3 linked regions of the Arabidopsis thaliana genome follow. The protein of the gene in region 1 interacts with the protein of each later gene in a pairwise test. Each region holds a gene or a part of one and is shown in the gene's direction. Other genes may lie near its edges.

Region 1 (3,144 bases):
GAAAAAGTTTATAACATTTGGGGCACAAATTTGCACCTGATCACTACATTTTAATATGATGACAGCTTTATGGATTATTGAGGTAGTGCACCTGGTGCACGGTAGTTGGTGTGATAGTAACAATTGGAAAAAAAAAAAAAAAAAAATCCCACATATGACTTTTATTTGCACTTTTGAAATTTTTTTTCTTTATTTTTCTTTTAAAAATATATTTTTAATATGTAAAATTACTAAATTAACTTTCTTAAATTAATAACAATTAATCAAAAACATATATATTTTAATATCAAATCAATTTATTTGTAATAATTAAAATAATTCAAAATATATATTTAGGGTAATAAATTTTTGAATTTGTTAGTCTTTTATAACTAACAATTCCAAATCTTTATTGCCCTAAATATGTTTTTCTAAACAATAATGACTAACAATATTCTACCGATATTAAGTCATGATTTTTTTTAAGCCATGTGTTATGGTGCAGATTTTAATATTCATTATTATTGTAAAACATTAAATAATTTACTTTGCAAAAAAAAAAGGAGAATTATTGAATTCAAGCAAAGTTTGGTGATATGTTAAGTTGAAAATTGTGTTTGGACTACTCGAGATTATTTTATTTTATATAAGTCCGATTGGTAACACAAAACTGTACAAAATTTTAGCTGTTAGCTATAACCAAAACTTTTTTTGGAATAGTGCAAAGTTGTACAAAAGAATTATACGAGAAAGCTGTACAGTAAAGTTAAGAGTAAAACTTTTTGTAATGTTTTTGATAAAGTTAATTTTTGCGAATGATAACTCTCAAAATAGTACAAGTTATATCGCTTTGAGAATGTGTTACCATTTAAAACCTATAACATGACAAATATTAAGTGATAGACTTTATAATACTTTTAGATATAGAAAAATTGAGAGATAGAAAATTTCTTCATCCAAAAAGAAAGAGAGAAGTTGGATTCCCAATTTGCGGGATCCCAAAAAAATAAAATCCCCATTAGGCATCATAGTGTGTCCTCACAAGAAGATAGATATCGTGCCATAAATTAGAACTGAGAGTAAGGGGTCTTGGAATCCATCTCTCACTCTCATTCCTCTGTCACTTCCAGAAACCAAACTATTCATCTATCTAAATTGATCTATTTGGCTTAAAGTATCTTAGAGTCATCAAGAGGAAACCCCTTGTCTTTCCAAAAACTTTCTCGATATCATGCTATCACTGACATATTATTGGATATAAGACTTATAAGTCTAATACCCAATTATTGTAGTTTGTGTAGTTGATTGATGTCAAAGTTCATATGGTTTCAAATTTATTGGTAAATATTATGATTGATATCCTTTTTTTGATTTTAAAAATCACCATTTATATATTTTTCAACAACCGTTAAGCAAAAATTTTAAACCAATCTGCGGTAGTTCTTGTAGGCATTTTTCAAGTTTTTTTTAGTGTAGTTTCTTAAAGATACTAAAATTTAATTTATCGTGTCTAGTTTAAATTTGTGTAATTAATGTTCGCTATCTTTCTTTAAAAAAACAAGCACCTTAACATATATATGTGTCTATAACAAAGTAAGTTTGAGTACATAATATTGCATGCAAATATATGCGGCAAAACTAAAAAGTAATAAACGGCAAATGAAAAAAAAAGCTGCTTTAATTCAAATAATTAAATATTCGGAGTGACTCACTTTCTTTTTCCCCAGGGACTTCTTACCTATAAATATAACACCTCACCACACCCATTGTTTCATTCATCTTTCCAGCTTTCTTCACTTTTTCCTTTATATAAAGTTAGAAAAACAAAAAAAACAAAATAGTTAGAAAAAATCTGAGAGAAACAGAAGAAACATAAAAAAAATGAGGCCATTGAGCATTAAACCAACATCGTTAGATGTAGCTAGACATGCCACATCAGTAGAATCATTTGGGAATCACCGACCGCCGATATCGCCGTGGCACTCACCGGTGCCGTACCTATTCGGTGGTCTTGCGGCGATGTTAGGCCTCATAGCCTTCGCTTTACTTATCCTAGCCTGCTCTTACTGGCGCTTGTCAACCTCCGGTGATGACTCCGGCGAAAGAGTCGACGAGGAAAAAGAGAGTCGGTCTGGAGTGAAGGCGGCTAGCGCGGCGTGCGAGGAGAAGGTTCTTGTCATAATGGCCGGAGATGACTTGCCGAGGTTTCTGGCCACGCCGGCGGCGAACAAATGCATGTGCGGTCACGAGGGTAGAATGGTAATTTTCAAGGAGGATGGTATTGGTGCTGGAGAGGAGAAAATGGGAGACAGAGAGAAAGCCAAAGAAAATGAAGAAACAACGAGTCAGTGAGCTTTTTTGTTTTCTTTTCTTCTCTCAGTCTTGTCTTTTTTTTTTTGTTGGGGAATTTTCCTTCGTGTTTTCACGGGAAATGTAAAATTTACTGAGAGAAAATTTTGGGTTATGATTAATGAATGTTTGCTTGTAATTTCCTATCCCCAATGGTGGAAAACTCGTTTTTAGTTTTTGTAATTCTCAAAAGTGTGATAGGTAACCTTTCTCATACAGCTTTAATACCAATCAGTAATAGAGTAAACTAAAACGGAATAACATAATAGTACTTAAAATTCTTACAATTTTATGTCATCACTAAGATCTACAAAAAAATGAATCATAGTATCATAACACTATGTTTGCCCAAAAAAAAAAAAAAAAGTATCATAACACTATTGATCATAAATTCAAAGCTTGCAATGTTTCGATGGAAACGTGATTCATCCCGTACACAAACTGTAATTTTATATACATTTTCAGAAACTAATGTAATGCATTAACCCTTTTGTATTACGTATATATTCTCACATTTTATATTTTGTAAGGAGATTCGTTTAGTTACTTTAATTATGAATTGTTATAATTGTGTCTCCTCCATGTATTTGTGTTACTTTCATATTTTCCTTGCATTTATATATTTTATTTACCATAGGATAGTTCTGAATTTGCTATCAACTTGGATATTTTAAATTAATTGAGACTCCATCTAGTTCACCGTCAAATTTTAACTATACTTGTTTAACTATACTTGTTATATAACGAGTGAATAAACTGGAAATAGTATTACTATTAACTATGAACTTACATTCGTAATATTCGAAAATATGTGCG
Region 2 (7,887 bases), on another chromosome or scaffold:
TGCCCTGCCAATGATTGTTGAATGGTCTCTCGAGGAGGGTTTCCTTCTAGCGATATGGAATTTCATTCGAATGCAGATTCAGCTTTCAGCTGTCTTCTACACATTCTCAATGGGGACCAGAGCTCACTATTTCGGTCGAACTATTCTCCATGGTGGGGCCAAGTATAGAGCCACTGGACGTGGATTTGTTGTCGAGCACAAGGGATTCACTGAGAACTACCGACTGTATGCACGCAGTCACTTTGTGAAGGCCATCGAGCTTGGGCTGATCCTCATAGTCTACGCTTCGCACAGTCCGATTGCCAAAGACTCGTTGATTTACATAGCCATGACTATCACCAGCTGGTTTCTTGTGATTTCATGGATAATGGCCCCATTTGTGTTTAACCCATCAGGATTCGACTGGCTTAAGACAGTCTATGACTTTGAAGACTTCATGAACTGGATCTGGTACCAAGGCAGAATCTCAACGAAATCTGAACAAAGCTGGGAAAAATGGTGGTACGAGGAACAGGACCACCTGAGAAACACCGGGAAGGCAGGATTATTTGTGGAGATCATCTTGGTCCTCCGGTTTTTCTTCTTCCAGTATGGGATTGTATACCAGCTTAAAATTGCAAACGGATCCACCAGCCTTTTTGTCTACTTGTTCTCATGGATATACATCTTTGCTATATTTGTGCTCTTCCTAGTCATCCAATACGCCCGTGACAAGTACTCGGCAAAAGCTCACATACGGTACAGGCTTGTCCAATTCCTCCTGATCGTGCTTGCTATACTGGTGATTGTTGCTTTGCTCGAGTTCACGCATTTCAGCTTCATCGATATCTTCACAAGCCTTCTTGCATTCATCCCAACTGGCTGGGGAATTCTGCTGATCGCACAGACTCAAAGGAAGTGGCTGAAGAATTACACTATTTTCTGGAATGCTGTTGTCTCTGTTGCTCGCATGTATGACATATTGTTTGGGATACTCATAATGGTTCCAGTAGCGTTCTTGTCATGGATGCCTGGATTCCAGTCAATGCAAACGAGGATATTATTCAATGAAGCTTTTAGCAGAGGACTTCGCATCATGCAGATTGTCACTGGGAAGAAATCAAAAGGCGATGTCTAAGTTTAAAAAACGGTAAAGCTCCTTGTTCTCAACACCTTATGTTATGATCGTTTAAATCCTGGATTTCACACCAATGCGGGCTTTAAATTTGTGTAGGTCTTAAGAAGTAAATGGTAGTTCAAATCCTATTGGTATGTGGCGAAGGAATCAGTTGGAGGTTAGTTTTCCCGAAACAACCGAATTCGAAGTTTTGTTTCGTCTAAAGAAAAACTCAGATGCTGATGATTTATCTTTGTATTTTAAACAGGTTTTTGGAGAGTTTGGTTGGATGAGGAATCGGGAAGTTGGTTTGATTCGGTTAGATGGGTTTAGGGAGATATTTGATTGTCAGTGTGTGTGGAGGGAACTCTGATTCTTGTATGGTTTTTGTTCTAAAGGTACAGCAATTTGTGTAGTGAGGCTTTGTGTATTTGTTCTCCTTCTCTCATTATAGAGCTTTAGAGCATTTTTAGTTTATATTCAGATTGTTATCTAATGTCATCTCGCAGAGCTTTTGTTCACATTTCACATCTTTTCTTCTCCTTCTTAGTAGAGATCAGTTTCAGATTAGATACTTGTCCATATTCCACTACTCTCGTCTATTATCGGTTTCTGCTTGTCAATTTCTGGGTCCAAAATTGAAATAAATTTATATAATTGGACCACAACACCACTTTGTCGGTTTTGACTTTTCTACTTGGATGCTCCTGAACTTCTTGCTCCCTTTTCTATTACAAATTGGGAAACAATCAGTGTGAATTGGGGAATAAAAAAAAACAGAATTGAGCAATTAAAGCCACGTGGCAAGAAATCGACGAGGGACCAACGTGTTTGTCTGCAAGATCTAATCCTTTTATTAACAAAACGGCGACTGATCTAACGGGAAACTTTTAAAATCGAGAAATTGTTAATAATAAATTCAACTACTTCTGGGCCATCATCATCAATCTTGTTCGTCTTCCTTTTGATCTTATCAAACTACAGTCAAATCACTCAGAGAAAGCTACTAGGTCTCTCCTCGACATTTGCTTTCAATTCGATCCAGTAATTTTCTTCTCATCGGAGAGAGAAAAAAAAAATGGAAGACCCGTTGATTGGTAGAGATAGTCTTGGTGGTGGTGGTACGGATCGGGTTCGTCGATCAGAAGCTATCACGCATGGTACTCCGTTTCAGAAAGCAGCTGCACTCGTTGATCTGGTTCTCTTATTCTCTTACACCCTAATTTTGAATTCGTTTTCCTCTTTGACTTTTCAAAAAGTTTCTATACATGGATCACATCGCCTCCAAGAGAGATTCTATGTATTTTATCAGTTCATTAAGTCAGTGTTTTTGTTAAGCTGAGAAGATGAATCGTTTCTTCTTCTGAGTGATTTCTTCGTATAAGGATTAGTCAATGCTTTTGTGTGTATATCCTCACGAAATTAGCATTGTTTGAAAATTGGGAATGGAGATATCTGTTGTTTCATTGTCTCTAAAGTCTTATGTCAAGAGGATTGTTGGATTGACTCTGATTTGTGGTATGTAGGCTGAAGATGGTATTGGTCTTCCTGTGGAAATACTTGATCAGTCGAGTTTCGGGGAGTCTGCTAGGTATTACTTCATCTTCACACGTTTGGATCTGATCTGGTCACTCAACTATTTCGCTCTGCTTTTCCTTAACTTCTTCGAGGTCAGCACATTTCTTTGGTATACACCAACCTTGCTTGAAAAATTTATAGAAAATCACAACTTGAAAGTAATCACACACTTTTCCTGTCTTTTGCAGCAACCATTGTGGTGTGAAAAAAACCCTAAACCGTCTTGCAAAGATAGAGATTACTATTACCTGGGAGAGTTACCGTACTTGACCAATGCAGAATCCATTATCTATGAGGCAAGTAATTACACTTAAGTCTTGTTTGCCTTTGTTTTTTTGCTATAGATGCATAGATTTAGTGCAGATGGGCTCATGATATACATGTACATCCACTTGAAAGTTTAAGACTTGAATTGCCTTATGTTTGTTTTCTTTAAATCTTGAGAAGCCTTGAGTATTTATTCAAGACTAGTTTATCTCGTTTAATTCGTCGTTAAGAACTTAATATCAACACTCACATCTTATTTTGGATATGTTTATTATAAGGACTGGCCAAGATCCTTTTCTCATTGTGCTGAAATTATAATATTCTTTGCTGTCCAAATAGGTGATTACCCTGGCTATACTCCTTGTACATACTTTCTTCCCGATATCCTATGAAGGTTCCCGAATCTTTTGGACTAGTCGCCTGAATCTAGTGAAGGTATTTCCTTACTAGCCACTTCACAGTTTTGTGTTTCTTCTTTTTGTTGAAAATCGATCAGAAAGTAAGAAATTCCTTTTCTTCGTGCAACAATTTGTCTTCATATTGATTCCAGGTTGCTTGCGTGGTAATTTTGTTTGTTGATGTGCTGGTTGACTTTCTGTATCTGTCTCCACTGGCTTTCGACTTTCTCCCTTTTAGAATCGCCCCATACGTGAGAGTTATCATATTCATCCTCAGCATAAGGTATCCGTAGATCTCTGCTTCTTTTCTATCAACTATATGGGTTATATGTCTTTATTTCTATAGACAAAGATGCGCAGATCATGTCATGTATGATAAATGTCGACGTGTGATTATTTGACCTACTATTCCTCCTATTAAATCTCTAAATACAGCACATTCCCCAAAGTTATGATTCTTTACATTTCTGTACAGGGAACTTCGGGACACCCTTGTCCTTCTGTCTGGAATGCTTGGCACATACTTGAATATCTTGGTCAGTGGCCTTCCCCAATCATTTTTGACTTTCAGATAAGTAATTAACTCATATTGATTGTCATCCTATTTACTTAACTCCTTGAATATTTTCACAGGCTCTATGGATGCTGTTCCTTCTATTTGCCAGTTGGATTGCTTTTGTTATGTTTGAGGACACGCAGCAGGGCCTCACGGTCTTCACTTCATATGGTGCAACTCTTTACCAGATGTTTATTTTGTTCACAACATCCAACAATCCTGATGTCTGGATTCCTGCATACAAGTAAGTATTAGGTGAAATCCCATTTGTGTCTCAGTTTGCTTGTATGGCGTTGCATCCAGTAATTTAGTGACTTATTTGTTCTGTCCTCTAAGGTCTTCTCGCTGGTCTTCGGTGTTCTTCGTGCTCTACGTGCTAATTGGCGTCTACTTTGTCACAAACTTGATTCTTGCCGTTGTTTATGACAGTTTCAAAGAACAGGTGGATTAAGGATTTGATGTTTGTATGGTTCTTATGTCAGCTTTTAAAACAAAAGTATTAACCTCTTTTGACACCTTGTGTCATATCATATCTATTCTGTTTGCAGCTCGCAAAGCAAGTATCTGGAATGGATCAAATGAAGAGAAGAATGTTGGAGAAAGCCTTTGGTCTTATAGACTCAGACGTAAGTTCATCTACGCATAGTGATTATATCTACTCCTAGAGATATCCGGAGAAGTTCTCCTTGGGCAAAGATCTTCATGAATGGAGAGTCTTTGTATAGTTAACCACTTTGCTGAGCATATATTTCTTCGTTCTTTATTTCATGTTTTAACAGAAAAACGGGGAGATTGATAAGAACCAATGCATTAAGCTCTTTGAACAGTTGACTAATTACAGGTTTGTTGCTATGATCTTTGGTATTTTCAATCTTTCCTATGTTTCGAAAAAGAAATACATCTTTTATATACTTGTTTGTGGTTTCTTCCCTTTTGTATGTTAACTTGTGAGACCTGATAATGATATGCATTCATTTTTCCTTATAGGACGTTGCCGAAGATATCAAAAGAAGAATTCGGATTGATATTTGATGAGCTTGACGATACTCGTGACTTTAAGGTAGAGATCTGTGAAGGATGTGGCACATATGATCAGGATACACCTTAAGATTACTATTCACCTAAACCTCTTGACGACTAACAGATTCTTTGTCCCCTTTTTGTTTCCTGTTGAGCAGATAAACAAGGATGAGTTTGCTGACCTCTGCCAGGCCATTGCTTTAAGATTCCAAAAGGAGGAAGTAGTAAGTTCACATATACTTTATTTTCCTTCTCTCAAAATTTACTTACCTCCACCATATGTTTACATTAGCGATCCTTTTTGTTTTCATTGCAGCCGTCTCTCTTTGAACATTTTCCGCAAATTTACCATTCCGCCTTATCACAACAACTGAGAGCCTTTGTTCGAAGCCCCAACTTTGGCTACGCTATTTCTTTCATCCTCATTATCAATTTCATTGCTGTCGTTGTTGAAACAACGGTATATCATGTTCCCATATTTCTTTGACATGCGATTCCTAATTCTTTCATAAGCCATAACAGATTTTGGTATGCAGCTTGATATCGAAGAAAGCTCGGCTCAGAAGCCATGGCAGGTTGCCGAGTTTGTCTTTGGTAAGAACTTGAATAGGTTTCCACTATCTTCTCTCCATTTTGTATTTTTCTTCTATTTGATGCTTTGTGAAGTGTATAATCTATGGTTACTGAGAAATATGATGAAAAGATGAAGAATGAAATAGAAGTTAAGCTATTTCCTGTGTTATTACACTGAGTAGAGTACTTCTATGGATCATATTAGATTGTAACAGCCGAATTTTATTGACCACCTTTTCAGAGTCTTAACTTTTTCTTCTTTTAATTTCTATCTTTGAATGTTTTTACAGGTTGGATATATGTGTTGGAGATGGCTCTGAAGATCTATACATATGGATTTGAGAATTATTGGAGAGAGGGTGCTAACCGATTTGATTTTCTAGTCACATGGGTCATAGGTAACCTATTGAAGCAGCATTTTCATCTTGTTTTGCTGATTGAGTGATTGATGGCTATGCTATAAGTGATAATCTTTGTATCTGCAGTTATTGGGGAAACAGCTACCTTCATAACTCCAGACGAGAATACTTTCTTCTCAAATGGAGAATGGTGAGGAATAACGATGACATATTTGTTACAATGGTCTTCTTTTGTACTAACCCAGACTCTGGTTCTCATTGATAGGATCCGGTACCTTCTCCTGGCGAGAATGTTAAGACTGATAAGGCTTCTTATGAACGTCCAGCGATACCGAGCATTTATTGCGACGTTCATAACTCTTATTCCAAGTTTGATGCCATATTTAGGGACCATTTTCTGCGTGCTGTGTATCTACTGCTCTATTGGCGTACAGGTAAATCAGACTACTGAGTTTTTTGTCTGAAAAATGCAAGCTTATGATGAAGCCTTGGTCAATGGTCATTCTCGTCATTTTTGATTATTCTAAGCCTCTTGAAATTCTTCATCTTTCCGTTCATCTGAATGTTTTAGGAACCGCTGAACTGCTACTCTCATGTGTTTTCCCTGTCTTCTCTCACGGGTTCTATTTCCCAAATCAGATATAAAAATTTCTTCATCTCATTTCTCCGTAGGTCTTTGGAGGGCTTGTGAATGCTGGGAACAAAAAGCTCTTTGAAACCGAATTGGCTGAGGATGAGTATCCTTTTTAACTTTCTGAAAAACTTTTAATGCACTCAACACAGTCTTAGTACACCTTCTCTGTTCCTGTGATTGCTAGTGTGTTTTTAATTTTTTATTACTGGGGTAAAAACGTTTTCAGTATAAGATCGTTTCTTGACGGGAAAAACTCAGCTACCTTTTGTTCAACTTCAATGACTACCCCAATGGAATGGTCACACTCTTCAATCTGCTAGTTATGGGTAACTGGCAAGTATGGATGGAGGTAATTTCACTCTTCTGTTAGTCCCAACTTTAGACTCATTATAGTTTCCAACAAGAAGTATCGCAAGATTCATTGGAGCTGAGGAGGCCAATGCTAGATGTACTATAAACAGCTTGCTTCTTATTTGCCAATCACTATGGTGCAATGGTTTTAACTACTCTTAATTTCTTTCAGAGCTACAAAGATTTGACGGGCACGTGGTGGAGCATTACATATTTCGTCAGTTTCTATGTCATCACTATTTTACTTCTGTTGAATTTGGTGAGTTTCACTGACGCCAACTCCTAAGAGCTCGATCAAACAGAGGCCATGATTGTTGTAAAGAAACTTAACTCTGCTTCTTAGATCGACTTATAATGCGTGTTTGTTTCAGGTTGTTGCCTTTGTCTTGGAGGCGTTCTTTACTGAGCTGGATCTTGAAGAAGAAGAAAAATGTCAAGGACAGGTTTGTTATTGTCTTTGATTCGCCATAAAGTTACAGATGTTGGGGAGATTAGAAAAGTAAAGAACCTTTTGGTTCGTGTTCAATCGGCAATGTTTTCATCTCGTTATTGTATCGTTGCAGGATTCTCAAGAAAAAAGAAACAGGCGTCGATCTGCAGGGTAAGTAGATAGGTCAAATTGTTGGTTGGTAATATCATACTAGACTCAAAATCTGAAGGTTTATTTTGTTTTTATGGTTATTAAAGGTCGAAGTCTCGGAGTCAGAGAGTTGATACACTTCTTCATCACATGTTGGGTGATGAACTCAGCAAACCAGAGTGTTCCACTTCTGACACATAAAACAAAACAAGATCGTTAAGAGCTTATTTATACGTTTATACTGTGAATCTTTGATTCTATATGGAGAGATCAATAGAATCTAGAAGGTGACTAAATTTTTTCTTCTTTTGGGTGAAGATTTAATATAAGACGATTGTGTTATAATTTGTCATGAAAACATATGACTATATGACTATATGAGCATCAATTTCTTTAACACTTTTGTAATGTTTACTGAGTTTTACTTTGACCTTTTAAAATGTAACTTTTATTAGTAAAAAATCCAAAAGAACAT
Region 3 (4,867 bases), on another chromosome or scaffold:
TTTTAAATACACATTTGCGTCAAAAAAAAAAACGAGTTTGCTGTCTCGAAAATAGCACCAATGCCCATTATTTCTTAATTGTATTTTTTCGGCTAAGGTTTCTAATTATTAATTTATTATCAAAACCTTACATATGGTAATGGTACACTGTACGAGTTTTTGGTTGTCTTGTGTTTTTCAATTTGTTCTTCCTCTTTATGTTTTGAGTTTTGTTGTCCTGTTTCATTTTATTCTTACTTTTGTTTTCTCTGAATTTTGTTTTCAGTGAACGTATAATTTAAAAATCTGCAATACAAACAAACAAATATCTAAAAGTCAAGTTGGCTTTACGCATGTGATCGACGAAACACCTAATTGTCTTGTTCTTTTTCATTCGTCTGAATAATTTCATGAAATTAACAAGACAAAGGTTCACATTTATAAAAAGGGAACGAGAGCAATCAAACTACAGAAGATCACTACATCAAAATAACGCATTTCTCAGATTCTCAGATTCAAACACATTCACCTAATTGTTTTGTTCTAGCTAGGCCTTTTAGCTATACAAATTTTGCATTAACATTACAATTTCCATCGGCATGTAAACAATTAGCACTAACTAATTAATTAGTACTGCAATATATCAAACATAAAAGATGGTTAATTAATTCAGTGTCAAGTTGCTGATCCTAATGAGAATGCAGTGCTGAGACAAGATCTGATGAGTCTAACAAAAATGTGACTAATTCAAATCACATTAATTACTGTATGTAGCAAACATAAGATTATATATATAATATATCACACCAATTTATATAGGGAATAAAACATATCCTTGTATGCAATGCATAACGTAGTTATTAATATAGCCTTACATGAATAACGTCGTTAAGATAACGATATGACACTATAATGACGAAACCTTATGGGAACATCATGAAAATAATGTAACGCGAGTTTTGACTTTCCAATGTAAACGAAAGGAGTAGAAAGCAACGGAAGACTACGAATGAAAGTATGGAGCTACGTATAGTTTACGAAATAATTAATTATACATATAGAAAAGTAGTGAGTCAACTTTTCTTTCCATCGTAATCAATAGCCCAACTGTTTACTATCATTGTTTGAAATATCCTCTGACACAGAAATGTTATCTTATAGTCAATTTGACGTACAATATGCTCTCTTAATAAAATCAAGAAATCTAGTTTTTATCAAAAACTAAATTTTGTCCCCATTCCATGGATAATGTTAAAACATTACATTCATTATAGATCCATGCATGTGAATGAAAAGGCTCACGGGTAAAAAGGTTATTAAGGTATCAATATGACCTCAAATTTTGGATAGATATTGAAGATTTCATACCACTTTTTTTAGTGTCAAAAGACGGAAAAGTAATAACTAAACTATACTACTTTTAAAAGTTTGAAAATTGAAAAACAGATTTTACACCTAATTTAAAATATCAGATCAAAGATCTTATCTACAAGACTAAAATTAAACTAGTAGCGGTCTTTGCTGTCCATTGACCGAGTTTTGCGGGTGGTTTACTCATTTAAGTACCACAGCATCAAATTAAAATAACTGTCACTTGTCGAAAGTGACTAGATAAAACCAAAAATAGCTTTAATTGAGTCAAAATTGTAGTTCTAGTGCAAAGTAAAGAGTTATCATCTTACAAAATGCGACTCATTAGTGTATTAATTAATTAATTTTCAGTCCAATAATCTGGTTAATTTGGTAAACTATCCAAAGAGTAATTAAATGATTCCTCGTCATAAATACTAATTTTCTACGTTTTAAGCAAAAAAGACAATAATTATTTGGTCTGAAAACTAAAAAAAGACACGAGATTAAGGGAAGAAGATAACGATCTAGAGGAATAGGCAAGTGGAAGAACCAGAACAACAGCTGTTCTTTTCTTCTAAACTTCAGAAGTCAGCCGACAGTTAATTTCTCCTTTTTTTGAGGTTTTGTCGAATCCTATAAATTTCAACTAAACTCTTCTTCATTTTCAATATCAAATCTTGTCTTCTTCTTCTTCTTCTTCTTCTTTTTCTTCTTCTTACATTTGATTTCTCTGTCTGAATTCGAGAACCAGATCTACTAATTACCTGAGAGAAAAAAGATCTGCTCTGTTTGTCTGAAACAGACAGAAGTCAACAAATCTTTCATTTGTTTTTTAGCAAATCAAAGAAATGGCCGGAGGGTTCGTCAGTCAAACGCCGGGTGTTCGGAACTACAATTACAAACTGACACCGAAAGTGTTTGTGACATGTTTCATCGGTGCTTTTGGTGGTCTCATCTTCGGATACGATCTCGGGATCTCAGGTTTTTTTCTTTTCTTCAAGTCTTGTTCTTCTTTGATCTGATCTAGGAATTTCCGGTGACTAATTAGGGTTTCTATATTCTTGTAGGAGGGGTAACCTCAATGGAGCCATTCTTGGAAGAGTTCTTCCCTTACGTCTACAAGAAGATGAAGAGCGCACATGAGAACGAGTACTGTCGATTTGATAGTCAGCTTCTCACTCTCTTCACTTCGTCTCTCTATGTGGCGGCTTTGGTGTCTTCTCTCTTTGCCTCCACCATTACTAGAGTTTTCGGAAGGAAATGGTCGATGTTTCTCGGTGGTTTCACCTTCTTCATCGGTTCTGCTTTCAACGGCTTTGCCCAAAACATCGCTATGCTTCTCATTGGTCGTATCCTACTTGGTTTCGGAGTCGGATTCGCCAATCAAGTAAGCTCTAAAAACTGTCTTTTTCCTTGATGAAGAAGTAACACTGGTGGCTTAGTTAACTGGTTTTGTTTTGTGTTTCAGTCTGTACCGGTTTATTTATCAGAAATGGCTCCTCCGAATCTAAGAGGAGCTTTCAACAACGGGTTTCAAGTAGCGATTATCTTTGGTATTGTGGTTGCAACGATCATCAATTACTTCACCGCACAGATGAAAGGAAACATCGGATGGAGAATCTCTCTCGGATTAGCTTGTGTCCCTGCAGTGATGATCATGATCGGAGCTCTGATCCTTCCCGACACTCCCAACTCTCTCATCGAACGTGGCTACACCGAAGAGGCCAAGGAAATGCTTCAGTCCATCCGAGGAACCAATGAAGTCGATGAAGAGTTTCAAGATCTCATTGATGCAAGTGAGGAGTCCAAGCAAGTGAAACACCCATGGAAGAACATCATGCTTCCTCGTTACAGACCACAATTGATCATGACTTGCTTCATTCCTTTCTTTCAACAACTTACCGGAATCAATGTCATTACCTTCTACGCCCCGGTTTTGTTCCAAACCCTCGGGTTCGGTAGCAAAGCTTCCCTCCTATCAGCTATGGTAACGGGTATCATCGAGCTCTTGTGTACCTTCGTCTCTGTTTTTACAGTGGATAGGTTTGGAAGAAGAATCTTGTTCCTCCAAGGAGGTATCCAGATGCTTGTCTCTCAGGTAACACAAACGCCTAACCCTAACCCTACTATACGTTTCTTAATTGGCACTCAATATCTCAAAATATCGGTGTGTATTACAGATCGCTATTGGAGCCATGATTGGAGTCAAATTTGGAGTGGCTGGAACAGGAAACATAGGGAAAAGTGATGCCAATCTAATCGTGGCACTGATCTGCATCTATGTAGCGGGTTTCGCCTGGTCATGGGGACCGTTGGGATGGTTGGTTCCTAGTGAGATATCTCCACTAGAGATCCGATCAGCAGCTCAAGCCATAAACGTTTCGGTCAACATGTTCTTCACATTCCTTGTGGCTCAGCTCTTCCTCACTATGCTTTGTCACATGAAATTCGGACTATTCTTCTTCTTCGCCTTCTTTGTTGTCATAATGACAATATTCATCTACTTGATGTTGCCTGAGACAAAGAATGTGCCAATCGAAGAGATGAACAGAGTGTGGAAGGCACATTGGTTCTGGGGAAAGTTTATTCCTGATGAAGCTGTCAATATGGGTGCTGCTGAGATGCAACAGAAGTCCGTATGATGATGATCAAGAATGAAGTTTTCTTTGGGCAATAAAGATTTATGAGAAAAGAGAAAGTGAATAATTCTTGGGATGAAATAAGAATAATTGTCAAAAATGCCTTACTTCCTAAAAGAAAGCTGCTCTGTCTTTAGCTTCAGAGACTTAGCTTTCATTGTTTCTTCTTTCTTCTTTTTTAATGTTTCTTTGTTGAAATTGTTATTTGGGGCCTAAAGATGTAAAAACAAAAAAAAGAACAAAATTATTTAAAAATGGTTTCTTATTTTACATTTCATTGAATCTTTATTTGAGAAAAATAGTGTTAACGCTTTATGCAAGAAACAAGAATAGTCATCACTCATCAATCGATATTCCAGTTTATCCTTACCATTTTTTTCTTTCCAATGATTGCGGTACCTCTTCAGCTCTTCTTTGCAACAAATTTTGTGAGAAAGTAATTTCACATTTTCGAAAACTGATCGTTTAATATAACTTAAAACTATCACTCATCTAGTGACGGTATTACAATTTCCCAAAAAAAAAAAGTTAGAAATAATACAAGTACTGATGTGCATCAGTGCATGGATGAATAATTGAGTACAGAGTCAAAAACTCCCGACCAAACCTAGCAGTGATATTACCTTTAAACTTTGATAGCATATATCAAACTGAGATTGACCTATGAATATGATGGCAACGAGCTCGTGGAAACTGGTAACTGAAGATTCTTTTTTTTTGTCTATTTGGTTTCATTGCCTGAAACTCCCTATAACGTTTTCCAATTCTTTCTTTCAAATTACGCATTGTAAATAACATTATTTTTGTTGAAAGATATTTAAGATTATTAAAAAATTCAAATTGATCTATATAGTACCAATTCTTTTTTCTGAATGTGATCATGAGAGAGTGTGTGT

What was found. The genes of interacting proteins can lie anywhere in the genome.
Region 2: the proteins of GDU4 (region 1) and TPC1 interact in a protein complementation assay, tested with the Arabidopsis thaliana proteins (one large-scale study listed by BioGRID).
Region 3: the proteins of GDU4 (region 1) and STP4 interact in a protein complementation assay, tested with the Arabidopsis thaliana proteins (one large-scale study listed by BioGRID).

Annotation. Positions count from the first base shown.
Region 1 is NC_003071.7:10,557,619-10,560,762, forward strand, and holds GDU4 (glutamine dumper 4), read left to right. Parts: upstream 1-1,554; 5' UTR 1,555-1,860; coding exon 1,861-2,331; 3' UTR 2,332-2,621; downstream 2,622-3,144. UniProt on the Arabidopsis thaliana protein: Probable subunit of an amino acid transporter involved in the regulation of the amino acid metabolism. Stimulates amino acid export by activating nonselective amino acid facilitators.
Region 2 is NC_003075.7:1,578,079-1,585,965, forward strand, and holds the start of TPC1 (two-pore channel 1), read left to right. Parts: upstream 1-1,850; 5' UTR 1,851-2,174; coding exon 2,175-2,294; intron 2,295-2,622; coding exon 2,623-2,766; intron 2,767-2,862; coding exon 2,863-2,970; intron 2,971-3,280; coding exon 3,281-3,376; intron 3,377-3,491; coding exon 3,492-3,622; intron 3,623-3,814; coding exon 3,815-3,875; intron 3,876-3,972; coding exon 3,973-4,139; intron 4,140-4,231; coding exon 4,232-4,337; intron 4,338-4,443; coding exon 4,444-4,521; intron 4,522-4,674; coding exon 4,675-4,736; intron 4,737-4,882; coding exon 4,883-4,955; intron 4,956-5,073; coding exon 5,074-5,139; intron 5,140-5,231; coding exon 5,232-5,375; intron 5,376-5,451; coding exon 5,452-5,509; intron 5,510-5,778; coding exon 5,779-5,886; intron 5,887-5,973; coding exon 5,974-6,037; intron 6,038-6,112; coding exon 6,113-6,281; intron 6,282-6,519; coding exon 6,520-6,584; intron 6,585-6,739; coding exon 6,740-6,830; intron 6,831-7,004; and 8 more. Other genes in the region: GSL05 (glucan synthase-like 5), read left to right, coding at 1-1,117. UniProt on the Arabidopsis thaliana protein: Functions as a voltage-gated inward-rectifying Ca(2+) channel (VDCC) across the vacuole membrane. Is one of the essential components of the slow vacuolar (SV) channel.
Region 3 is NC_003074.8:6,932,868-6,937,734, forward strand, and holds STP4 (sugar transporter 4), read left to right. Parts: upstream 1-1,700; 5' UTR 1,701-2,180; coding exon 2,181-2,313; intron 2,314-2,399; coding exon 2,400-2,719; intron 2,720-2,800; coding exon 2,801-3,430; intron 3,431-3,512; coding exon 3,513-3,974; 3' UTR 3,975-4,330; downstream 4,331-4,867. UniProt on the Arabidopsis thaliana protein: Mediates an active uptake of hexoses, probably by sugar/hydrogen symport. Can transport glucose, methylglucose, galactose, xylose and mannose, but not fructose.